Drosophila melanogaster: one gene and its partner. The protein of the gene in region 2 interacts with the protein of the main gene of each other region in a pairwise test. Each region holds a gene or a part of one and is shown on either strand. Other genes may lie near its edges.

Region 1 (5,707 bases), on a different chromosome or scaffold from region 2:
GTCCGAAAGGGACAGGAAGCCACACACCTCAATCTTCTGGTCTGTGTGGCGAATGGTGGGTTCTCGGCCGAATATGTGGGACTTTTGCTCATACGGAGCCGTCGGTGGCCAGAGCAGAACAGATGCCTCCATGCGGAAGTAGCTGCCGCATTTCAGGGTCACCTCCGAACTCTTGTAGCTGGCCTCGCAGAGACGTTCAATTAGTTCGAAGACCGTAGTGCGGCCCAGTTCGCTTTTGTGGCTGGGGTTCGGGTTGGGATTGGGATTTCCCTCGACTGCATCGCTGCTCTTGGCGGGCTTTGTCATGAAGAGCTGGCCTGGAAACGTAGGTACACCATTAGTTACATGAATATCTTTGAATAGAGTGCAGCTCACCCTTCAGTGAGACCTTGTCCAGCAGCTGCTGGTACACCGCCAATCCCCTGGTGAAGTAGTAATCGCCGTGCAGGCCCAGGCAGATGAAATTCAGGTTGTAGTTGGCCAGAGTCTTCAGGAAGCCGAACTCCGGCTCCGACTCCTTTTCGGCGTAGGCCTCCAGGAAGCCCGTGATCGAGGTGTTGCCAAAGCCGAGGCCGCAGTCCGTAAAGACAACCACCTGCAGGATGTTCTGGTTGCCCCACGGCGACATTATGGACACCACCGCCTTGAGCATGCTCATCAGGCAGGCCTTGTCCACGGGCTCCACCTTCTTGACCGCCTGCCGCACCTGGTCGTAGTCCCGCGTGAAGTCCACCTTCAGTTCCGCCGTCGTCGAATAGGAGAGCAGAGCAACGTGCTCCAATTTGCCGGCCGCCGTGAGATTGTCCAGCAGATGCTGGATGCCCTTGGTGGCCAGCGACTGGTAGGTGTGCTCATTTCTTCCCGGCACCGGGCGCAGCATCGATAGCGATGCATCCAGCGCTATTAAGGTGGGCATTTCGTAGCTTAATTAAATTTATTCAGCGCTTTATTTATGTTTTCTCCAATTTTTGTTATTTATGCATCTTCTTCTTCTTCTGCTCCAGCTGAAGTGCCATTCGCAGCGCAGCGAATAACGGTTTCTAGTTCCAAGTGAATGATTTTTGTCCATAGCTTGGCGCCAAATAGAAATTCAAATACATAAAGTGCTGAATTTACAATCTTGATAAAATACAATCCTAATGGTTATTACTTATTGAGTGAGCTTACATAACTGCCTTCTCCACAAGTAAACGAAATATGCCTAATAAACTTATTTACCCATTTTCGAATCCAATTTCCCGGAATCGCCTCCAGCAGAATTCGATTATATTGGAACAAATAAATGTAAATAAATAACTCAACCCAAACGATTTGGGATGCCAGCTTTTAATTGGCTTGGATTTCGCCGCCCAAATCATTTGTCTGCATTGCGCTCGATGATTTTGTATTAGAATAAATTGAATTTTGATTCGTCGGCACCCCGACTTGCCTCCATGCGGGAACTCATCCCCACTAAACATCTCCCATTTTAATTACTGAACGCATGAGCGGCTGAGAGCGGAGAGAGAGGATCCACTATCGGGGAGCAGCACGGATCCACAGCTGGTACGGAAAAGTCGGCTGGTCCAGCATCATTCCTCGTTCGCAACTCGAGCTGTTAGGACGTCCAGCTCCAAGTTTTCGAGCCAAGTGATCCAAGTGTGTGTGCAAAACAGAGGCTACTCTTCGAACTTGAGCCATTCAATTTCCCCCAAGGGTGAGTTTTTCCCTATCTACCTGGTGCAATGTGCGATTAGTGAACGAGGCCAAAACTTTTCGTACACCCCTCTCAATTCGTCAACCTCTAACCCAATCCTTATCGCCGCGAATATGTCCAACCTACAGCAGAAATCTCCGGGGAAATTGCGATGGCAACTGGTCTTATTGTAATTTCGATTCGCCCTCGCGAATTTCACTCGCTTATTTCTGACCCAATTTCCCGAATGCATCACTTCCTCCATATCTTCCCGCGGAGGAGAATGAATCTGGCACATGCAGTGTCCAGCGGATAATTCGCGTCATTTGTTTATCGCCACAAGAACAATATCGCATCCACATATGTATGTATTTTTAGCGAGGTCCATCCGGACAAGGAACCAATCCGCTTTGTTCCACTGACATTTCTTTATTGCTCGCCTGCACCGCCGCAAATATTGCACATAAATAAGCCTACATTTGTTTACCCCATTGTCGCTAGCGATAAACATTCGCCGACGCAGCTCCAGAGGAAGTATCCGCATCCACTGGCGGCGAACGGAGGCGCCATCGCTACCCATCCTCAATTCCCCGTTTCCGTTCGATTTCGATTTGGATTTCTTTTTCCACAGGTCACCCCACGCAGTGGACTCGCTTACCAATTTAAGATCGCATCGACGCACCAAACCCACGATGGCCGGAGGAAGTCGCCCTCTCCAATTAGTTCTCCTGGTCCTAGTTGCGCTCGCCCAATGGCAACCCATCGCCGCTGGATTGGTCTCGTGAGTAGATTTCATTCATTTTCGGGGAAAAGCTTGAATAAGTACATAGATCTTTGGTCCAATGACATTGTGGAACCCTTCGCTTAAACCACTAAATACCAACACTCCTGGTTCTCCATACACATTATTGATTGCCCAACTCCATCGGAAACTTCCATTAGCGTCGTAAAATCACTCAGATCTTCAGTTTCTAGACCCAATTGATCCGCTGCCACTTCAAGTTCTTCGTTTGAATCTCTTGGAGGGGCCGATGTGGATTCGAGGAACCACAACTGCAGCCCTCCGGTTTTATGGTCTTGACACATGTCACACATCGCGGAGTGGTTCTGGTTCCCGCTCATAATGCCCTCCACTGTGCCCAGACTTCAAACTAAGTGCATTTGTCGGCGCCTGGGGCCGTCGCATATGTGCATCATGGTTGTGGGACGTGCAGTATGGAGTATGGAGTATGGATGCAGCCCATGCACAGCCACTCCCCAGTAGTGAGTGGTGCCTTCAAAGGGAGCCAAGATGTTGGCGCTGCGCCTATTTGTTTGTTTATTTTGGGACTCTGGCTGGGAATGGGGGAGTGCTCCCAGAGCTCCCACTGCTCGCCCATGCAAATGGGCATGTGTTCCGTGTTTCCCCTCCACAGCCACACATAGCCATGCCACATCCATCGCCATCAATGCAGTTCACACAAACAGCGTGCGGAGTGGAGGGCTCCTGACCCTGAGATCCCAGCCCTTAATATTTATAGACGCGCCATCATGGTGGTGGTCCCGCTGCCATCTGCCCTCCCCCACTCCGATGATTAATGGTCCGCAGCGAGGCTAATTTTAAGCCACTAACCCTAACCCCCTACCCTTTCCAGCAACGAGGAGCTGCGCGGAACTATCCAGTCGCTGATCTACTCCTACAATCAGCTGGACAATAAGCTGGAGCGGCACGAGCATCGCGAGCGTGCGTTGGGCGAGCTGCTCAAGAAGGCGCTGCAGTCGCTCCAGAAGGGCCAGAAGAGCCTGGAGCCCATCAATGGGATCTTCGGGCGCCTGGACGAGCGGGTCAGCCAGATAGAGACCATGCTGATCACGGTAAGTCAGCCATAAAGGGGTAGTAGATGTTATCATCCAAACTTATCCGATCCTCAGCAAGAGGAGAAGTACAACTCGCAGTCGGACCGCTTCAACCAGGCAACGGAGCACATGTTCAAGTGGATGCGGGAGAACGACGAGTGCTTCAAGAGGCCGCCGGTCAGCGCCAACATGATCGCTCCCCCAGCCGCGGCCGCCCCACCCGCCATTCCCAAGGAGTTCCTGGAGGATCAGAAGCGCCTCAACGCCAAGCTGCTCGAGGAGATCCAGAAGTTGTCGGCCAGCGTGGCCGCCCTCAAGGAGAGCAGCCAGAAGGCGTCCGATCAGACCCAGAAGCGCCTCGAGGGTCTGCCCAAGGCACCGGAGCTGCTGTCCCAGATCGAAGCCAAGCTGCAAGAGCACGCGGCCAGCGTGACCACCGCCGCTCCACCGAAGAACGCTGAGTTCGAGGCCCAACTCCTGGAGCGTCTCACCTCGCTGGGCGGCCAGGTGAGCTCTCTAAGCGAGACTGTGCAGCGACCAGCTGCTCCGGTTGGCCTGAGCGAGACGGATCGCGCCTACATCCAGGAACTGAACAACGATACCCTGAATGCGCTGGCGCAGCTGAAGAGCGAGTCCTCGGTGGAACAGAAGTCAGGTGAGTGTAGAACTCATCGCAATTGGGGGTCAATCCACATTCACTTCCTCATTCCCTATTATGCATACAGCTGCGACGGAGGCCACGGAGCGACTGCAGCAGGCGGAGGCCAACATCCAGGCGGACGTTCGCCAGCTGTCCGCGGACGTGGGCATTCTCAACAAGCACTTCGCCTCGACTAACGAGAGCAATGCCAAGCTGAACGAGGGACTCGAAGCGCTCGGTAAGTTCAACAACATCATGATGACCAACTCGGAGGTCGTGCTGGACACGCAGCGCAAGGTGGACTTCGGCACACTGAACGTGGTGCAGCGGGTTGGCAAGCTGCTGGCGGAGGAAATGGCCACGCTGAGCGGACTGCTGAAGGAGCGCTTCTCGTCGCTGGACGGAGCGGTGGTGAGCATCCAGCAGGAGGCGAACAAGAACATCAGCGGACTGCTGGAAACGGAGCTGAACCAGGTGTGGCACCGCATCGAGATCATGGCCGGCGAGATCAGCCAGAGCCGGCTGATGCTCGGAGATATCCAGTCCGCTTCCGATGGCTACAACAACAGCACTCTCATCACCATGATGGGTCTCGGCAGCCGCGTGGAGGAGACCAAGAAACACATGATCGACATGGACGAGAACCTCAACTATCTGCTGGGCAAGCTGTCGCTCATGTCCACCGAGTTCGCCAGCATCAAGAAGGGCCTGGCCGACTCCCTCGAGGATCTGCGCAACTCCTTCCACGGCCTCCACGAGCGGATGCCCACGGGTCCCGGTCCGCACAACATCGACAAGAACACGTATCTGACCGACGTCAATCTCCTGTCCAAGCGCCACGCTGAGCCCGGTCGGGAGTAGAGCGGCTGAGCGCCGGAGATGACACTTGAACGAAAAGCAATACAATACTTTTAACCATAGCGCTTAAGTCTGCCCACTTACATATACTCATCTAGTTGCGCCTTAAGCTTAAGCACAGCAAAACGTCACTCAATAAAGATCGAATATTATGTACAAGATACGAGCTGCTGCGTTGCACCGCCATTAGAAACGCGCGATCCTCTCCAGCAAAAGACACTTTCATGTGAACAATACACTTTTGCAGTTTACTCTTACGAACTAAAAGGAATTCCTGGCGATAATTTACATAATGTTAAGGTAACTAGTTAATATAAGGGTGTCGCTACCCACGCGAACGATGTGCCTACGTGCCCCACCGCTGCTCGCACCGCGAGTACTTGCACAGGATGCTGGCGAACGTCTCCACGTCGAAGTGGCGTCCGCTGGGATGCGTGTGGAACTCGGTGAAGCGCGCGTGCCAGGGAAGCAGGCCGTAGGTGCACGTCTGCCGGGCGAACACGATGCCCAGCTCCGGCTCCGGGGCCTCGAACCCGAGTCGCTTGCTCAGCATGTCGCTGATCTGCTCCGTCAGCGCTTCGCGCTTCTGCTTAAGTAGGCTCTGCACCAACTCCGTCTTACTGTCTTCGTACAACTCGCGGCAGACGTCGGCGATCAGGGCATGGCCGTCGGAGGCGCTGATTTGATGGAGCTGAAAG
Region 2 (5,005 bases):
ACGATACATTTTTCCGAGTTTTCTACTTCATGACACCCTCTACGACTAGCCATCCGTTATCTATGTGCCAATGGATGCTAAACCCATTTTTGTCCAATCCCAACAGTCTTTGCATCCTATGCGGAGAAAAGGATTCACATGCTGGAGCGGCACAGGGAGAACCTGACTGCCATCGAGCGGAGTGAGTGCATGCTGTGCCGCCAGCCCTTCTCCAGCGAACCGGATTTGATCCACCACATGTCCGCGGAGCACTTGCAGCGTCCTGGCGCTCCCATCATAGCGAACAACAAACGGGTGCTGCAACAGAAGCGGGAACGCCAGTACTCCGGACTCTTTCAGTGCGGCAGCTGCAGCCAGAGGTTCAACATGAAGTCCGCTCTGGAGCGGCACGCTGCCGTGCATTCCGAGAAGGATCGACCGCACGCCTGCCCGCACTGTTCCAAGCGGTTCAAGCGCGCCCAGGACATGAAGTGGCACATCAAGACCCACGAGAAGGAGAAGCCCAATGTGTGCGATGTTTGCGGCAAGGCATTCGCCCTCAAGTATGTGCTCACCCAGCATCGCTTGAGTCACGAGGGTAAGGATGTCCACATGTACATATGTATTATTAGAAACATGTAATACATCAATCTTTTACAGTCTTGGAGAAGAACTTCAAGTGCAACGTTTGCGGTCGAGCCTATCTGTTTGAGAAGTCATTGCGGCTGCATCAGCGAACTCACACGGGCAAAACCTACTACAAATGCGATCTCTGTCAGGAAAGATTTGTCACGCACATTAAGCTCAAGAGTATGTATGCGAAATCACTCAATGATGCCCTTCCATATAGATGAACATCACTTCCAGCTCACATGCAAAAGGCACACGCCGCCTCTCAGCCGCACTCGGCGGACCAGCCTCTGGACGATCTGATCAACATTGTGATTTCCTAACCAAGTGGAACAGCAAACAGCATAGATTTCTGTTGTAGCCAAGCACAGTGCAGAAACTGCAATGCATTGGAGCGTAGCTCCCGAAACTCAAGCTTACATAGACCATATACATACATGTACCCTCCATCCAATTACACTTACTAGACCATATGCACACACGCAGCGATCTCTGGAACGTGAAAGTGCTTAGAGCTTTATTTAGTGGATATTCCGTAGGGCATAAACCATATAGCTATATCTCTGTCCATTTCTTCGATCGGTCCCTAAGGCACTCCAGCCGCATATCTCTTTCTAACTCTGAGCCATATTAATCTCACAGAACGCCTTTAAACACTACCAGCACATACATACATATATCCATTTGACCACTTAGCGATAAGAAATAAGCAATGAGAACATACAAGATGTTATACGAGCAATCTAAGCTTCGCGGCGAACTTTTAATGCTCAAGAAATGCATTTATTTCCAGATGAAACCGATAAGTATTTACAATAATTACCGAAAATGTATAAGAATATTTAAAATATCAATATACTATGGATTTTATTATGTGTAGTTGCAGATATATTTACCAAATTCATGTTCCGAATAAACATTCATGTGACCAAAGTTTGAATTGCCGTTACTTTTTTAGTTGGGCGGCAGAAATCGATTGGTTTAGACAGCTTTTTGCAATGATTGCAGAACTAGCTTTAAAATAGCGTCAAAAAGCTAGTTCTACTTTAATGACTTGTGTAGTGCGATCTAAATAATTTACTTCATTTATTATGAAATTTCTTTTGATCAGTTGTAGCTAGACAACAGCCAAAAGCTGCCAGCACTGCCGTCGCCCACATCCGATAGTTGCGACTCGTGACTGCGTGAAGAACCAGTGACTTGTATCACCTGCGGCCAAAATTCGCCCATCCCTAGAGAACGTGAACACGTCAGTTTTTAGTTTATAATATTTATAAGCGAAAAGTTCAGTGCACAGCGGTCGCGATTCCGAACTAGAAGTGGCTGCAATGCCCATGGGGAGTACCATCTAAACTCCATAACACACAGACAGTCAAAACAATCAGCTGACCAAGTCAGAAATTACCGAATAATCATCGCAGACGGCGCCGCAAGTTTACCAAAAACGGACGCAAAATCCATAACAGCGAGCTGAAAATAAAGCCGCCAGTGAAAGTTGATGTGCAGGAGGGGAAGCGGTGCGACCGTAGAGATTAGAAGCTGCCACGCCAAGCAGATTCGACGTGCGTGTCGATTGGGAATCAACTCCAAATCACGCCCACACTGGTTTTTTGCGGGGGCATCTAAGTACACGTAGCCATCGTCATGGCCTTGCCATTGAGTGACCTGCTCATGATCGGCGGCGGCGAGAAGAAATTGGCTGCCTGCCTGGTGCTGCTCCTGCTGGAGCTCTTCCTGGAAGGTACGTACTTCAAATCCTTATCTTCGAAGGCATCTGAAATACACGTCATTGTTTCTCGCTCAGGCGCCGAGTCGACGGCCAGTCCAGCGGATATTGAGAACCATCTGGAGCTGGGCAAGGAGTTCCTCGCCCGCGGACAGCTGTCGGATGCACTGACGCACTACCATGCAGCTGTTGGTAAATATAACTGGCTTGTACACACGAAAGAATCGGAATATCTATGACAATACATTTATATTCTTTAATTCACGTGAATTTACATAACATCGCGTTCAAAAGTGTCCATTGGCAACGAATCTAAATATTTTATAAAGATTTTAATTATTTTTGATTAACAAATCATAGAATCGTATGGTTTAAAACATAACCATGTTTTGCAAATGCCAAGGTCAATAAACAAACTTGTATCTTTTGTCTTGAATTTGATGATAACATTAATTTGGTAAACTTTTGTTTAGGACTACATTCATTTGTGCTAGGATATTTTTTAGCCTTTCTATGCCCTCGTCATTGATTTAACCATTATCATTTTCACAGAGGGCGATGCCAACAACTATCTGACGCTTTTCAAGCGCGGCACCGTCTATTTGGCGCTGGGCAAGACGCGCTTTGCCGTCCAGGATTTCAGCAGGGTGCTGGAACTGAAGCCAGACTTTATGGCCGCCCGAATCCAGCGGGGTGTTGTGCACATGAAGAGCGGAGAGTACGAGCAAGCGATCCAGGACTTTGATCAAGTCCTTCAAGAGGAACCCAACAACGGCTTGGTGCTGGAGCACTATTCCCGCTTGGCACCCGCCCAGGAGCAGTGGGTCCTTGTACAGCAGCTGATCCAATACAGTGATCACCAAAACGCCATCCCCATGATCACACAGTTGCTAGAGATCTCGCCGTGGGCTGTGCCCTTCCGGCAGGCTCGCTCTGATGCCTACATTGCAATCAATGATCCACTGTTAGCCATTGCTGACTTGCGACAGGTGAACCGACTCACCCAGGACAGCACTGAGGGTCACTACAAGATTGCACAGCTGCTGTACACAATTGGCCACGCCACAAATGCCTTAAAAGAGATCCGCGAGTGCCTGAAGTTCGACCCGGAACACAAGCTCTGCTTCCCCTTCTACAAGAAACTACGAAAGGTGGAAAAGCAGCTGGTTAACGCAGAGCAAGCGCGTGAGGAGAAGCATTTTGCCGAGTGCATAGCCGCCGGAGAGGCAGTCCTGCGTAACGAGCCGGAGGAGACGATGATCCGGTATGAGGGACACAAGGTGCTCTGCACTTGCTACACGGGCGACGAGCAGTTTGGCAAGGCTTTGCAACAGTGCAAGGAGGCACTGGATATTATGAAGGATGCTCAGGTCTACTGTGATCGTGCTGACGCATTGCTGGGCACCGAAATGTACGACGATGCCATACACTCCTTCCAAGCAGCTCTCGACCTGGAAGAGAGCAACACCCGCGCTAAAGAAGGCATCCAGAGGGCAAAGAAGCTGCAGAAGCAGTCAGAGCGCAGGGATTACTATAAGATATTAGGCGTTAAGCGTAGCGCCAGCAAACAGGAGATTGTGAAGGCCTACAGGAAGGCGGCGCAAAAGTGGCATCCGGACAACTTCCGCGACGAGGAAAAGAAGGTGGCCGAGAAAAAGTTTATTGACATTGCCGCAGCCAAGGAGGTTCTCACGGATCCCGAGAAGCGTCGTCAATTCGACAACGGCGAGGATCCATTAGATCCTGAGAGCAATCAGCGTGGCGGCTTCCATGGCGAACATCCGTTTGGACACTTCCAACACGGGTCGCCGTTCCAGTTCAAGTTCCACTTCAATTAGTCAGCCAGCAGCCATTTGCTTTGTGATGTCCTAGCCGCGATCCCCGATATCCTTTAACGATTTTACACTGTTTTGTTCATTTAAATGGCGTGTAAATAGTAGCATAAAGCATAAATAAACCCATGGTCCGTTGTCAGAGAGTACCACAAACAAACACAAATCGCAACAAAACACACTGAGCACTTACATTTAATTAGTTTATTTAATACAATACAATAATTATAATGTAGTACATTTTTCTAATTATGTATAAAAAGAAACAATATGCGAGAACAAGCAATTAAAGACTTGGCAAATTGAGTTGAATATTTGTTAGTTTTGAACATGTTTGGAATTGAAGTAGTAGTCTTAAGGTGCAAAGTCGTCATAAATATTCCTTCGCTGTAGTCTGTGGTTGAAATGCGTGGAGTAACCAAAACCAAATGTATTCCGCGATATGAACGCTTCTCAGGCGTTGGGTGTCAATACCACGTACACCATGGTGGCCAGCATCACTGACACTACCAATATTAAGTAGAATTTGAGATTATATTTTTGATCCAATGACACCGCCAGTGCACGGAACTGCGCCATAGGCGAAACCTGATCGTGGTGTCTTACCAGAGGTTTTCTAGCCAGCGGCGAGAAGCGATTCTTTTGGAAATGGCTATTGATGGGTACTTCCTCGACTTCGGACTCGCTCTCCGTCTCCATGGGTTCGCCTGCGTCATTCGGCTGATCGTAGAATTCATTTAGTTGTGGATATAGAGTGTTTACTGCGGTGGTCGGCTGGAGCAGGCGACCACGGGCCAGATTGGATCCACTAACTGGAACACTCTGTCGCTGGCGAATG

Evidence for each region. The genes of interacting proteins can lie anywhere in the genome.
Region 1: the proteins of P58IPK (region 2) and CG5080 interact in a two-hybrid assay, tested with the Drosophila melanogaster proteins (one large-scale study listed by BioGRID).

The regions. Positions count from the first base shown.
Region 1 is NT_033779.5:1,159,749-1,165,455, reverse strand, and holds CG5080 (uncharacterized protein), read left to right. Parts: upstream 1-1,569; 5' UTR 1,570-2,367; coding exon 2,368-2,456; intron 2,457-3,309; coding exon 3,310-3,529; intron 3,530-3,586; coding exon 3,587-4,166; intron 4,167-4,236; coding exon 4,237-5,012; 3' UTR 5,013-5,166; downstream 5,167-5,707. Other genes in the region: IntS14 (integrator 14), read right to left, coding at 1-317, 376-916; Tango14 (transport and golgi organization 14), read right to left, coding at 5,356-5,700.
Region 2 is NT_033777.3:9,585,110-9,590,114, forward strand, and holds P58IPK (P58IPK), read left to right. Parts: upstream 1-1,832; 5' UTR 1,833-2,253; coding exon 2,254-2,350; intron 2,351-2,413; coding exon 2,414-2,527; intron 2,528-2,887; coding exon 2,888-4,173; 3' UTR 4,174-4,472; downstream 4,473-5,005. Other genes in the region: CG8301 (uncharacterized protein), read left to right, coding at 107-577, 640-789, 847-932; bocks (bocksbeutel), read right to left, coding at 4,621-5,005.